Linked DNA regions of Oryctolagus cuniculus. The protein of the gene in region 2 purifies or fractionates together with the protein of the main gene of each other region. This does not show direct contact. Links are inferred from orthologs where the notes say so. Each region holds a gene or a part of one and is shown on either strand. Other genes may lie near its edges. The genes, in order: COP1, FOS and STK40.

The links.
Region 1: the proteins of FOS (region 2) and COP1 purify together in Homo sapiens (affinity purification with mass spectrometry; 4 studies listed by BioGRID and IntAct, counting the BioPlex papers as one, with this or other methods). This does not show direct contact. The link is inferred for Oryctolagus cuniculus from reciprocal best matches to the Homo sapiens genes FOS and COP1.
Region 3: the proteins of FOS (region 2) and STK40 purify together in Homo sapiens (affinity purification with mass spectrometry; 3 studies listed by BioGRID and IntAct, counting the BioPlex papers as one, with this or other methods). This does not show direct contact. The link is inferred for Oryctolagus cuniculus from reciprocal best matches to the Homo sapiens genes FOS and STK40.

The regions. Positions count from the first base shown.
Region 1 is NC_091438.1:4,285,031-4,288,744, forward strand, and holds part of COP1 (E3 ubiquitin-protein ligase COP1), read right to left. Parts: intron 1,390-3,714; coding exon 1,275-1,389; intron 1-1,274. UniProt on the Homo sapiens protein: E3 ubiquitin-protein ligase that mediates ubiquitination and subsequent proteasomal degradation of target proteins.
Region 2 is NC_091451.1:21,316,087-21,320,356, reverse strand, and holds the start of FOS (protein c-Fos), read right to left. Parts: upstream 2,801-4,270; 5' UTR 2,604-2,800; coding exon 2,463-2,603; intron 1,812-2,462; coding exon 1,560-1,811; intron 1,148-1,559; coding exon 1,040-1,147; intron 945-1,039; coding exon 303-944; 3' UTR 1-302. UniProt on the Homo sapiens protein: Nuclear phosphoprotein which forms a tight but non-covalently linked complex with the JUN/AP-1 transcription factor. In the heterodimer, FOS and JUN/AP-1 basic regions each seems to interact with symmetrical DNA half sites.
Region 3 is NC_091438.1:136,337,159-136,340,872, reverse strand, and holds part of STK40 (serine/threonine-protein kinase 40), read right to left. Parts: intron 3,480-3,714; coding exon 3,335-3,479; intron 3,217-3,334; coding exon 3,097-3,216; intron 2,805-3,096; coding exon 2,720-2,804; intron 539-2,719; coding exon 320-538; 3' UTR 1-319. UniProt on the Homo sapiens protein: May be a negative regulator of NF-kappa-B and p53-mediated gene transcription.

The DNA.
Region 1 (3,714 bases), on a different chromosome or scaffold from region 2:
TCCACTTTCAATTTAGCAGCTTCTTACTGTAGTTTCTACTTACAGACTATTACAGAGGTTAACAAGGAGTTAGAGTCTGAGCCAAGAAATGACAGCTTTCTATGTGTAAAAGTTGCTTATCAATAGTTTTAAACTTATTCAAAAAAATATCTTGGCTTCCTCTAATCTTCCTAGAAAAAACACTACGTAAATCCAATACAAGGACTTTCAAAATGTGTATAAAAAAAGGAATTAAAAATGTGAAACATTTTTAAGTTCACACATAATTATTTAAAATAATATCCATCATCATGACATTTTTGAAGATACTTTGCACATTTTTCTCTCTACTACCAAACCTCATATAAATTTGTGTAAAAGATTTAAAAAATATATAGATTTTAATAATATTTTTTCAAGAGAAAATTAAGGCCTAGTTTTAAACAACAATAAAAAACAAGGCATATTTTTCTTTGGTAGCCTTAGGGCATGTGTACTAATGACATCAATTAACAAAATAGCCAAGAAATGCCAAACGCTGTGCTTCACATAAATGACGTGTATCCCCTAAATAAACCTTTAATGTAGGTATTGAAGTCACCACTTCACCAGTGAGCATAGATGCTAAGAACGGTTGAAGAACAGGGAGTTTTATTACTTCTCCACATCAGCGCACTCTATGCCACCACATCATATCTTGGCATACGTCACCTCTTCTACCTTGAACATGTTTCCAATTACTTTTCCCAGTTAATCCCTAATAGCCCAAATACAACTTCTCCAAAATCTTGACAGGATTCCATCTCTCCATTTTCAACGCTGCCTGGCTTTCCCCTATTTGTAGAATAGGAGATTTCTTCTCTATTACTATAACATCCTTTACATATTTAAGTAACACATAGTATCACACAGAATTATGACTTACTTGCTGCTTTCTCCCTTTACAGTAAGAACTGGTTCTTCTACCTTTCTATCCTCAGCAGTGCTCAGAACTTAATGGTGACTAGGTAACTTAATATTTTTATTTTTGCTAGCTATATGTTTATGGCTGCTTTTCCAAGCTTTATACAACTTATTATATGAAATTAAAAACTTTCAAACAGATAGCAAAAATCACCACTAAAAAGCAATATTCTCCAATCTCTCTCAGAATCTCCATACTGCTTTGAAAGACTACGTAAAAAATGCAAACTTATCCTTTGCAGCTAGAACTTTCCAAAAATCCAGCATAAAAACCTAGAAATAGATCTGAAATATGAATTTCAGATACTTTAAGAGGCGTCCTGAACATGTACCTGAGATACGAGACATCCTTGTAGAAAAATAACACTGCTCTAGGTCTTCAAAATGAGCAGTGAGTCGTTTTCGTCTTGAAGCTAATGTGCTGATATACCAAGGCTGTTTCTTTGTCTAAGGCAATAATAAAAAAAGATATTTATAACTCAGAACAAATCAGACCCTTTTATACAGAATATTATCCAAATGTTTGTATATTTATAAGTATCTAAAGTTCATCACAATAAAATGATTACAAATGGTGAAAAACCATGGTTTCTAGATATTTTCTGATTTCTCTTTTAAAGTGAAAATAGGTACCAAATTTACTAACAGAATGACTAAAACAAAAATGAATTAAAAGATAAGTACTAAATGAGAGTTTTATAAGACTAAAATGAGAAACATCTTAGAACTCTCTGAATTAAATGAAGTGTTATTCTAAAATTTTGAATTTTACGAATCTTAAAAAACAGAAATTATTAGAAAGCAATTATTAAACAGAAAACTATTTTTCATCATCTTTATATTGTAGTCTCACACTGAATTATCAGAACAGCTCCTGATTGTAGGAAATATCCACTTAATACTGATTATTAGATTAAGCAGTAGTAATATTTCTTACTAAAGAGTTTTACTTATTTATTAGAGAACAGAATAACAAAATCAGATAGAAAAAGTCAAAGACAACAATCCAGAAATACAGTGTAAGATACTGTAAACATCAAAGATCCATGATCCTAGGTGTACATTACCTACAAGCTTGTTTAAAAAAAGGCTATTATCTATCTTGAGGCACATAAATAGATAGAGAAGATATATAATGAGATCTTGGAATCACACAATTCACCAACAGGTATAGTCAGAACGTCAAATGCACTACCTCGAGAGTACTAAGTACTATAGTAGACACTGCACAGTGTGCCCTTGCTTTAATCAAACTAGGTGGAAGGTAAGAATCATATTGTGAAGTACTGCTTTACTCACAGGAAAGGAAGATAACTTCCAAAGACATAACAAAGAAGAAGCTGAACTCAGAAAAATGATGGCGAACAAAGTACAACAGCACAGGACAGTGGGGAAAAGAGGACAGTCGTTAGTCTGGGGACAAAAGCCTGCTTACCAAGTCCTTCACTGCAATTTGGCAACCACCCCACGCAAGGAAACCTAACACAGAATTTGCAAACTAGAAGAGATATCTAAAGGAATTACCTACAATGAAAGTCAGAAACCAGAAAGCTTGAAAGAAATGATATGAGAAATAAAAGATGGAATAATGATTTGAAATATGGCCAGAGTATCAGAAGAAGAGTGCAACAGGTTCAATAAAGAAGTGTTTAAAGAACTGGTAGCTGGAAATCTTCCAGAACTGGAAAGAAACATGAACACACAGACACAGAAACTATTCCTACCAAGCAGGATGACTAAGAGGAAGTCTAAAATTCGAGCCATTATGTTTTTGTCCAACGGCATAAAGAAGATCTGAAAACTCAAACAGAAAAGATAACTTATTTAAAAGATTAACTTACTTAATTATTTAATAATAAAGAGGCAAAATACTTTTAAAAGCAATAGAAGAAGACAGAACACAACATACTTTGATTATCATCAAAAATTGAGGAAAAATAACTCCAGTCTAAAATTCAGGACCCGATAAAACTATCTTGCAAAATGAACAAAATATATTTTCCTATGCATGAAAACAGTTTATAACCAATGAGCCAAATCTAAAGGAATTTCTGAAATTGTGTGTGGTACCTGAAATACACATAACAAAAACTAGAAGGTCTAAGACACAAAACTGAGAGAGCAAGAAAACTACCAACCAAATAAATGATTCTAAATATTGCTGCCAATTATAATAGTGATTTGTGGGGTTTAGAAAATACCTGTATATATACATACATAGCATAGACATCACACAGAAGTGAGGAAAATCTGGGTTTTGAAGTGACTATATTTTTCAGGAAAGTAATTAAGATACTGATTAAGAATAGACTGTTTAGATGACAAATGTGGATTAATTTCAAGGATAACTACTGAAAGGATCGTAACACAACAGGTAGCATTCAAATCTGTAGAGGGGTAGTGAGAGGAATAAATATAAGAAAAAAATCAAAATGTGAGGAAATAGCAAAAATAAGGAGTAAAACAGAGAGAAACTACATCAGTATTCATAATAATCTAAATGGAAACACGCACCAATCGAAATAGTGATAGAACTCATTTTCTGAAAACATAACCGCAGGCTATCTGCCAAAGAAACATCTAAAACATAAACAAACAGAGATTTTGGAGACAATATGAAAGATAATAGGAAAATATTAACTGAAAAAAATAGAATCAAGATGTAAAGGATGGAAACAACACTGCATAACAAAAAAAACATTTTATTCAACAACAATAGATATGTCTATTTGTAATAAAACAGCCTCCAAAATGTAGAGAGTAGAAATTTCC
Region 2 (4,270 bases):
AGAGAAAAGAGACACAGACCCAGGCCTGGCTCAACATGCTACTAACTACCAGCTCTCAGAAGTGCCACTGGGAACAACACACACTCCATGCGTTTTGCTACATCTCCGGAAGAGGTAAGGACTCGGGTCCACACGCGGGTGCGTTCCAGTCCTTGCGGCCCACAGCCTGGTGTGTTTCACGCACAGATCGCGTCCTCCCTAGTCTACCGGAACCCTCGAGGGAAGACGTGGTTCTTTCTGTAATGCACCAACTCCGGACAGAGGCAGGGCGCCGCGCCGGCTGCCTCCCCAGCCCGGCCGGCTCACAGGGCGAGCAGTGTCGGGGAGCTGAGCGAGTCAGAGGAGGGCTCGTTGCTGCTGCTGCCCTTGCGGTGGGCCGCGGCGCAGCTGGGGAAGGAGTCAGCCTCGGGGTAGGTGAAGACGAAGGAAGACGTGTAAGTGGTGCAGCTTGGGGTACAGGTGACCACCGGGGTGCACAGGGGCTCCAGCTCCGCAGCCATCGGCCCCATCCCCAGGGCGCCACTGTGCAGGGGCTCCCAGTCTGCGGCATAGAAGGAACCGGACAGGTCCACGTCCGGCACAGAGCGTGCCGTCTCCGAGCCGCTGGGCCTGGATGACGCTGGGAACAGGAAGTCATCGAAGGGCTCGGCCTTCAGCTCCATGCCGCTCAGGTTCTTGCCGGGCTCCACTGCGGGCTTAGGCTCCGGGTCGTTGAGGAGGGGCAGACTGAAAGGCTCCTCGGACTCCGGGGTGGCAGCCTCGGGCAGGCCCCCGCTCAGATCCAGGGATCCCACGGACATCTCCTCGGGGAAGCCCAGGTCATCGGGGATCTTGCAGGCGGGCCGGTGGGCTGCCAGGATGAACTCCAGCTTCTCCTTCTCCTTGAGCAGGTTGGCGATCTCCGTCTGCAGCGCAGACTTCTCGTCTTCTAGCTGATCTGTCTCCTGTGTTGGGGAAGGATGGAGACAGCATGAGACTCGGTCACACTCCAGGGCCCAGCCTCGAACTTCGAAAGGTGTGACCCCTGGGGTCTACTTACCGCCTGCAGGGTATCGGTGAGCTCCCGCCTCCGGTTTCGGCACTTGGCTGCAGCCATCTTATTCCTTTCCCTTCGGATTCGCCTCTTCTCCTCTTCCTCGGGTGACAACTACAACGACACCAAGCAGAGAGCGCTTCAGTAACAGTGACAGCCACCACTTCGGGGAAGCTGGCTCCTGCCGCCTCCCAGCTCCCTGGCACCTCCTCTGACGAGTATTTCTAACCTGCAGTCGCAGGCGGGGTGTGACTTGCATTTAAAATCAGATCCTCAGCCCAAGAACAAAGATGAGCCCAGGCTGAGGGCGCCAGCGACAGGAAACTATCAGGGAAGAAAACTACAGACGGACTTCTTGGGGGCGGGACTATCGGAGTCTGGCCTGGAGCCAGGCTTCCTGGCTCGGGATGGGATGCACAGACAATTCCCACTCTGGCTTCATCCTCGCTGCTGGGTTCCCCCAATCTCCGCTGCTGTCCCCGTGACCCGCCTCCCCCACCCCCCAAGGTGCAGAGGCGCCCCTCACCTGCTCCACCTTGCCCCTTCGGCCGATGCTCTGAGCTCTGCCTCCGGTCAGGGTCTTCACGTTTCCAGCCCGGGGGTAAGCCCCAGCCGAGGGGGCGGGGACTCCGTAAGGGTGGGGGGCTCTGGTCTGCGACGGAGCCACGGAAGAGACCAGGGTGGGCTGCACCAGCCACTGCAGGTCCGGGCTGGTCGAGATGGCAGTCACGGTGGGGATGAAGTTGGCAGTGGAGACGGCCAGATCCGAACAGAAGTCCTGGAAGAAAACAGAAGGAGAAGCCGCCGTGAGCGCGCGGGTTGCGTTCACAGGTGGGGCGCGCCGGGTTCCCAGCGCCTGCCGCATGCAGCAGCCGGGGAACGGCGCCTGCGGGGTCTGTTAGTTCCCATCCCGGCTGGAAGCTCTGCCCTCTGCCCGCAAGGTCTCCGCAACGCGGCGCCTCCTGTCTCCAGCCCGCGGCCGTGTTCCCGTTATTTCTCCAGCAGCATCACTCGCTGGAAAGGGGGTTTGTTATAAATATCCCTGACGTCCGCGCTGACGCAGGCGCCGCTCCGGAGTCTCCAGAATGAACTCGCTTTTTATCAATGAAACTGCCTTACGCACCCTCCTCCCGCGCCCCTCCTCCCGGCTCCGGGCCGCCCTCTGCCGCCTGCCCCAAAGGAGCCGGACCTCCACCTGGCGAGTCTCTCCCTGGGCTCACGTCCGCCCCGGTCGCAGAGGGCGGGCAGGGGGCTGCCCGGCGCGGACCCGCCGGGCAGAGGGGCAGGCATGGCTTACTATGACGACTGGCGAGCGTGCGCTCACAACAAGCCCCGCGCTCCCAGACTGGGGCTGCTCCGGCCGCGGCAGCCTCCCACCCTGGCGACCCCCCGGGTCCCGGGCCCCACGGAGGCGCCAGTGCGCCCTCACCTGCGCATTGACCGGGGAGCCCATGCTGGAGAAGGAGTCGGCTGGGGAGTGGTAGTAGGAGAGGCTGTCCCCGGCTGGCGAGGCGCTGCTGCAGCGGGAAGACGCTGCCTCGTAGTCGGCGTTGAAGCCCGAGAACATCATGGTCGCAGGGAGGGCAAGCTGGGCGAGGGGCCTGGGCACCGAGGCCGGCGGAGCGCTGGCTGGGGCAGAGCTGGGTCGGAGCGCGGTCACTGCTCGCTCGCTATGCAGCGGCCGCCGGCTCTGTCTCAGGTTCTTGGCTGCTCGCTGCAGAGGCGCTTGGAGTACGAGGCGCCGCAGCCACCGCTTTTATAACAGCATTTTGTGAATGAGCCCAACGGCGTCACCGGGCGCAACCATGTGGCGCTGGAGGGGTGGCGCGCCGGCTGGGGTGGCGCCGCTGCGACCCGGCCACCCCCAGCCGCGCGCAGCCCCCGCCCCGGTATGCCTGTGAGTCCTTACTCTGCGGGCGTGGCGAGATGAGGGTCCCGGAGGGGTCTCAGACCCCCGAGAAGAGGGTCTTCGGGGGTGGCTCCCCCCACGGCGACACGGGACGGCCGTGGAAACCTGCTGACGCAGATGTCCTAATATGGACATCCTGTGTAGAGGGGGGAGGGATTGACGGGAACTGCTCGCGGGCTGCAGCCAACATTGAGGGTGCAGCGCGGGGGGGAAGCGGGGGCCGCGCCGGGGCGGGGGAGGGGAGGCGGGAGAGGCGGAGAAGGCGAGCGAACATTCCCACTGGGCACGCTGCGGACCCTTGTTCCTGGGGTCGTGGGGGATGGGACGGAGGCCGGCCTCTCACCCCGGTGCAGGGACTAGGGTTGGTTCTGAGGCTCAAGTACTGGAGGAACAGGTACACGGCCCCGAGGGCGCAAGCGCGGCTCGCAGAGGAACGCACGCAGCCCCCATTCCCGACCCTCGCCCTAGCTGGGTGCAAAATGTGGCCCCAGACCCGAGCCCCTGAGCCCCCGAGCCCCCAGGGTCCCAGGATCATTACTACGTTTGGAAGCAGAACGTGATGGGTCTAAAATGAAATACGGTAGCCCGGCTTGATTTGCGAGGCGGGGGTACTTTGATTTTTACTGATTCGTTTTCGTGTTTGGAGGAAGGCAGCGCACTTGTTTTTTTCTTCTGGGCCGAACGTGGGGGTGTTAGTGTTACTGTCCAATCCCTGGGACGCCCGTCCATATACGTCATACAGACCCCCGCGCCAGGATGCCAAGGGGTCGTCAGCCGCGTTCCGAGCGGCGTCCTGGGGGTGGGTGGCCTGTGCGGGGCCCCAAGGTGGACTGAGCCGCCAGGGAACGCAAGTCAGAGCTGGGGGTGCGGTGGGGGCCGGGTCGGTTCCGCCAGGAAACTGGGCTCCCAAGGAGCCCGCAGCGGGTGATTTTCCAGCTCGGATGGGAGGCGGGCAGCAAGGGGAATGGAAGAATGGTGCCCAGCAGTATCCAGGCGGGAGGCCTCGAGGCCCGGGCCCTGGAAACCTGGAGGTCTTGGGGGCCGAGCAGGTGCTGCAGAACGCGCCACGCCCCCCCAACGCCCCCAGCCTCCCGCTGGGCTGCAAAGGACCGCCGGGGTCACACTGTCCCAGCTGGGCCCCGGCGCGCCGGACACCCCTGGAGTGCAACGGCGCAGGTCCCTCTGCAGGACCCCTGAGTCCTCTGACCCACTCTGGGGGCCTAGGGGTCGCGGCCAGCCGAGGACCCGCTCCCGGGGAGGGGCGAGGCAGGGTCAGGACAGCGGGCGGGTCGTGGGTGGCGTGCGGGGAGCGGAACCACGGACCTGCC
Region 3 (3,714 bases), on a different chromosome or scaffold from region 2:
TGGTATGCTCCTCCTTGCTCTGACTCAGTCCAGAGACAGCATGGTTACAGAGACAGAGGTAGATTAAAACGTCATGATTAAAAGCAGATTAGTTATCTAGGCTTCTCAGATTAAAAAAAACCAAACAATCAGGCAATCATTCCAAAAGGTAGCTTCGTGGTACCTCTGCTGACCACACGTGTGGCCTGGGCTGTCCCCGGCCTTGCCCCGTCCCCACTGCAACCTGGGGCAGTCCAGCACGCTAGGATCCAGCCCGCCAGCCAGGCCTTCGGCTGCGGCACAAGAGGTGGTGTTGGTGCTGACGCCCCTGCTGAGGCTGCTACTTGCGCAGGTAGCGCTGTGCCAGGATGGCTGTGTCCAGGGAGCTCATGGGCTGCGCGTCGTGGCCCAGCCGCCGCACGGGGGGCACGCTGCCCAGCTGCCGCTTGGGCACCCAGCTCCGGGCCTCGTGGATGCAGCTCTTCTCCTCGGCCAGCAGCAGCTGCTGCCGCATGTAGTTCTCAAACTCGTACTGGGAGCACTCCTCCGTCACCTTCGCCTGTGGGGCCCAGATGGGGCGAGACACAGAAAGCAGTGGAGACGGCGCGGTGAGTGCTGAGCAGCCTGGCTCCTGTGGCTCCCCCACCCTCCCCCAGCATCCACAACCTCAGTCTATCTGGGAGGGGCTGAGTGTGGGTCCCTGGTGCTCTCCAGGTCTTGCTGGCCACCCTGGGTGTGGCTATAGCAGGTGGCAGCTATGGCACACACCTGGCCTGCCCCAGAGTCCTCCCTAACTCTCCGACCTCGGGAAGGGTCACGCTTGCTTTCTCCCCAGAGGTAGGCAGGTGTCTCTTTCACAAAGGTCCTGTGAAGCCAGTGCCACGGCTCACTAGGCTAATCCTCCACCTTGTGGCGCCAGCACACGGGGTTCTAGTCCCGGTCGGGGCGCCGGATTCTGTCCCTGTTGCCCCTCTTCCAGGCCAGCTCTCTGCTGTGGCCAGGGAGTGCAGTGGAGGATGGCCCAAGTGCTTGGGCCCTGCACCCCATGGGAGACCAGGATAAGTACCTGGCTCCTGCCATCGGATCAGCGCGGTGCGCCGGCCGCAGTGCACCAGCCGCGGCGGCCATTGGAGAGTGAACCAACAGCAAAGGAAGACCTTTCAGACCTTTCTCTCTGTCTCTCTCTCTCACTGTCCACTCTGCCTGTCAAAAAACAAAAAAACAACAACAACAAAAAACCACAAAGGTCCCGTGGTCCTCAGGGACCAACACAGGCCAGGGAGTAAGAGCATGTTGGGGGAGCCGGCACTGTGGCACAGTGGGTTAAGCCATGACCTGCAGCACCAGCATCCCTTGTGGGTGCCGGTTTGAGTCCTGGCTGCTCTACTTTGGATCCAGCTCCCTGCTAATGCACCTGGGAAAACAGCAGAAGATGGCCCAAGTGCTTGGGCTCCTGCCACCCATGTGGGAGACCCAGATGAAACTCTAGGCTCTTAGGCTGGCGCCGCGGCTCACTAGGCTAATCCTCTGCCTAGCGGCGCCGGCACACTGGGTTCTAGTCCCGGTCGGGGCGCCGGATTCTGTCCCGGTTGCCCCTCTTCCAGGCCAGCTCTCTGCCTGTGGCCCGGGAGTGCAGTAGAGGATGGCCCAAGTGCTTGGGCCCTGCACGCCATGGGAGACCAGGAAAAGCACCTGGCTCCTGGCTCCTGCCATCGGATCAGCGCGGTGTGCTGGCCGCAGCGCGCCAGCCGTGGCGGCCATTGGAGGGTGAACCAACGGCAAAGGAAGACCTTTCTCTCTGTCTCTCTCTCTCACTGTCCACTCTGCCTGTCAAAAAAAAAAAAAAAAAAGAAACTCTAGGCTCCTGGCTTTGACCTGGTCCAGCCCTGGCCATTGCAGGAGAGTGAACCAGCAGATGGAAGATCTTGCTCTGTTTCTACCTCCCTCCTTAACTGCCTTTCAAATAAACAAATCTTCAAAAAAAAAAAAAAAAAAAAAAAAAAAAAAAAAAAGTGGGCTGGGGCACTCTGGATGACCGTCTATCTATCTCGGCCACACAAGGCCCAGACTGAGCACGCAGGGACACTGATGGACAGGAAGACTGCAGGTCCCCGGTGCTAAGCACTCTATCCTCAAGGGTTAGCTCCACTATGAGGCTGTGAGACTTCGGGAAAGTCATCTTAGCTCTCTGAGATGGGGTTAAGAACAGAGGCCACACAAGCCCCTGGTGTGATGCCAGAGCTGTCCTGGGGCAGCCACTGAACAGCCTGAGGAGGGAGGGAGCGCGCAGAGGCCAGGTGGCTCTGCCGGGCCCCAGGCACAGCCCTTCCCACTGCTGGTGGCAGAGGTCCAAGGTGGGCAGAGAAGGCAGGTCCTTACACCACGCCAGGCCCAGCGTCTCGCCTGGGGCTGGCCCTTGTCCTGCTCCCCAGGGCACACCCTAGGGTCTCTGCCCCGTCCCAGGCTCAGCACTTGCACCAGTGCAGGGAACGGGGAAGGGGAAGCAGGAACTCAGATGAATGAATCATCTGAAAAATGAAAGGCAGGAAGGAGTGAGAGCCCAGTGAGTCAGAGGGGCGGGGAAGGTGACTACCCCACATGTCCACTGGGGGGCCTCCCAGGAGCTCGCTTCCACCCGGCAGCCGCTCAGCCCCCGCTGCACTGGGCAGGAGGGAGGAGGAGGCTGCACCCACAGGGAGCCACCGCCTCTGCCCCTGCCAGGCCTGCCCTCCCCACTCACCTCCTGGGAGCTGTCTGCGTTGCTCATTTGGTCATCGATGTCAGGAACCACTTGCAAGGGCCCGCTCAGAGATGACAGGGACTGCCTGTGGGGTGGACACAAGCCAGGTGGCTCCAGGCAGCCCCGGACTCGGCTGCAGTCAGACTAACCTGCCTGACACGACCGCCTGCTTCTCTGGCCCTCAGTTTTTCCTTCGCAGGTGGCAGTGAGAACCCAGTGAGGCAGTGCCCACCCTCTGATGGGCCTGAAGTGCAGCGAGTGCCCTGCTCTGCCTGCACCCTCCCCATCCTGCCCGCGGGGAGACTCTGGACGCCTGACTCTGCCTCATGGCAGGCTGCGTGTCTGTCCTGCACCCAGCCCAGCTCCTGCCCACTCACCACGAAGCAATGATGGCGCTCAGGGCCTCCAGGACGTCAGCGGCAGCCAGGCGCTGCTGGGGGTCAAGGACCAGCAGTTTTCGGATGAGACACACGGTGTTCTCAGAGACTCTCCCATCCCTGACATGGAGAGGGAGGTGGAGAAGGAGAAGGCTCAGCAGGGTGGCCTGGGGCCAGACCTCACGCAGGACCCCAGCCCACGGGGCTGTTTCCCCACCCCCAGGGACACAGGACTCACTCCGGGATGGTGTACTCTGCGGCCTTGATCTTGCGGAAGAGCTCCTGTGGGACGCTGTCGTAGAAGGGGAACTGGCCGTAGAGCATGGTGAAGAGCACCACGCCCAGGGCCCACATGTCGCTGGGCTTGCCCCGGTAAGGCCGGCCTGGGGGAAGGGCGACACACACACACACACACTCAGCGTGGGAGACAGCGCCTCCCTTTGGATGCGCAGCTCTGTGCCTGAAATCCCACCACGGGGTCCTCCGCCTACCTCCCACATGGCTGGTCCCTTGCAATCCCCTTTGGCACATGCTCACCGTGCATCACCTGGGATGCCTTTCCTGACTCCTTGGGGAGGGATCATATTGGCCACATGCAGCCCACACACCTACCCAGCC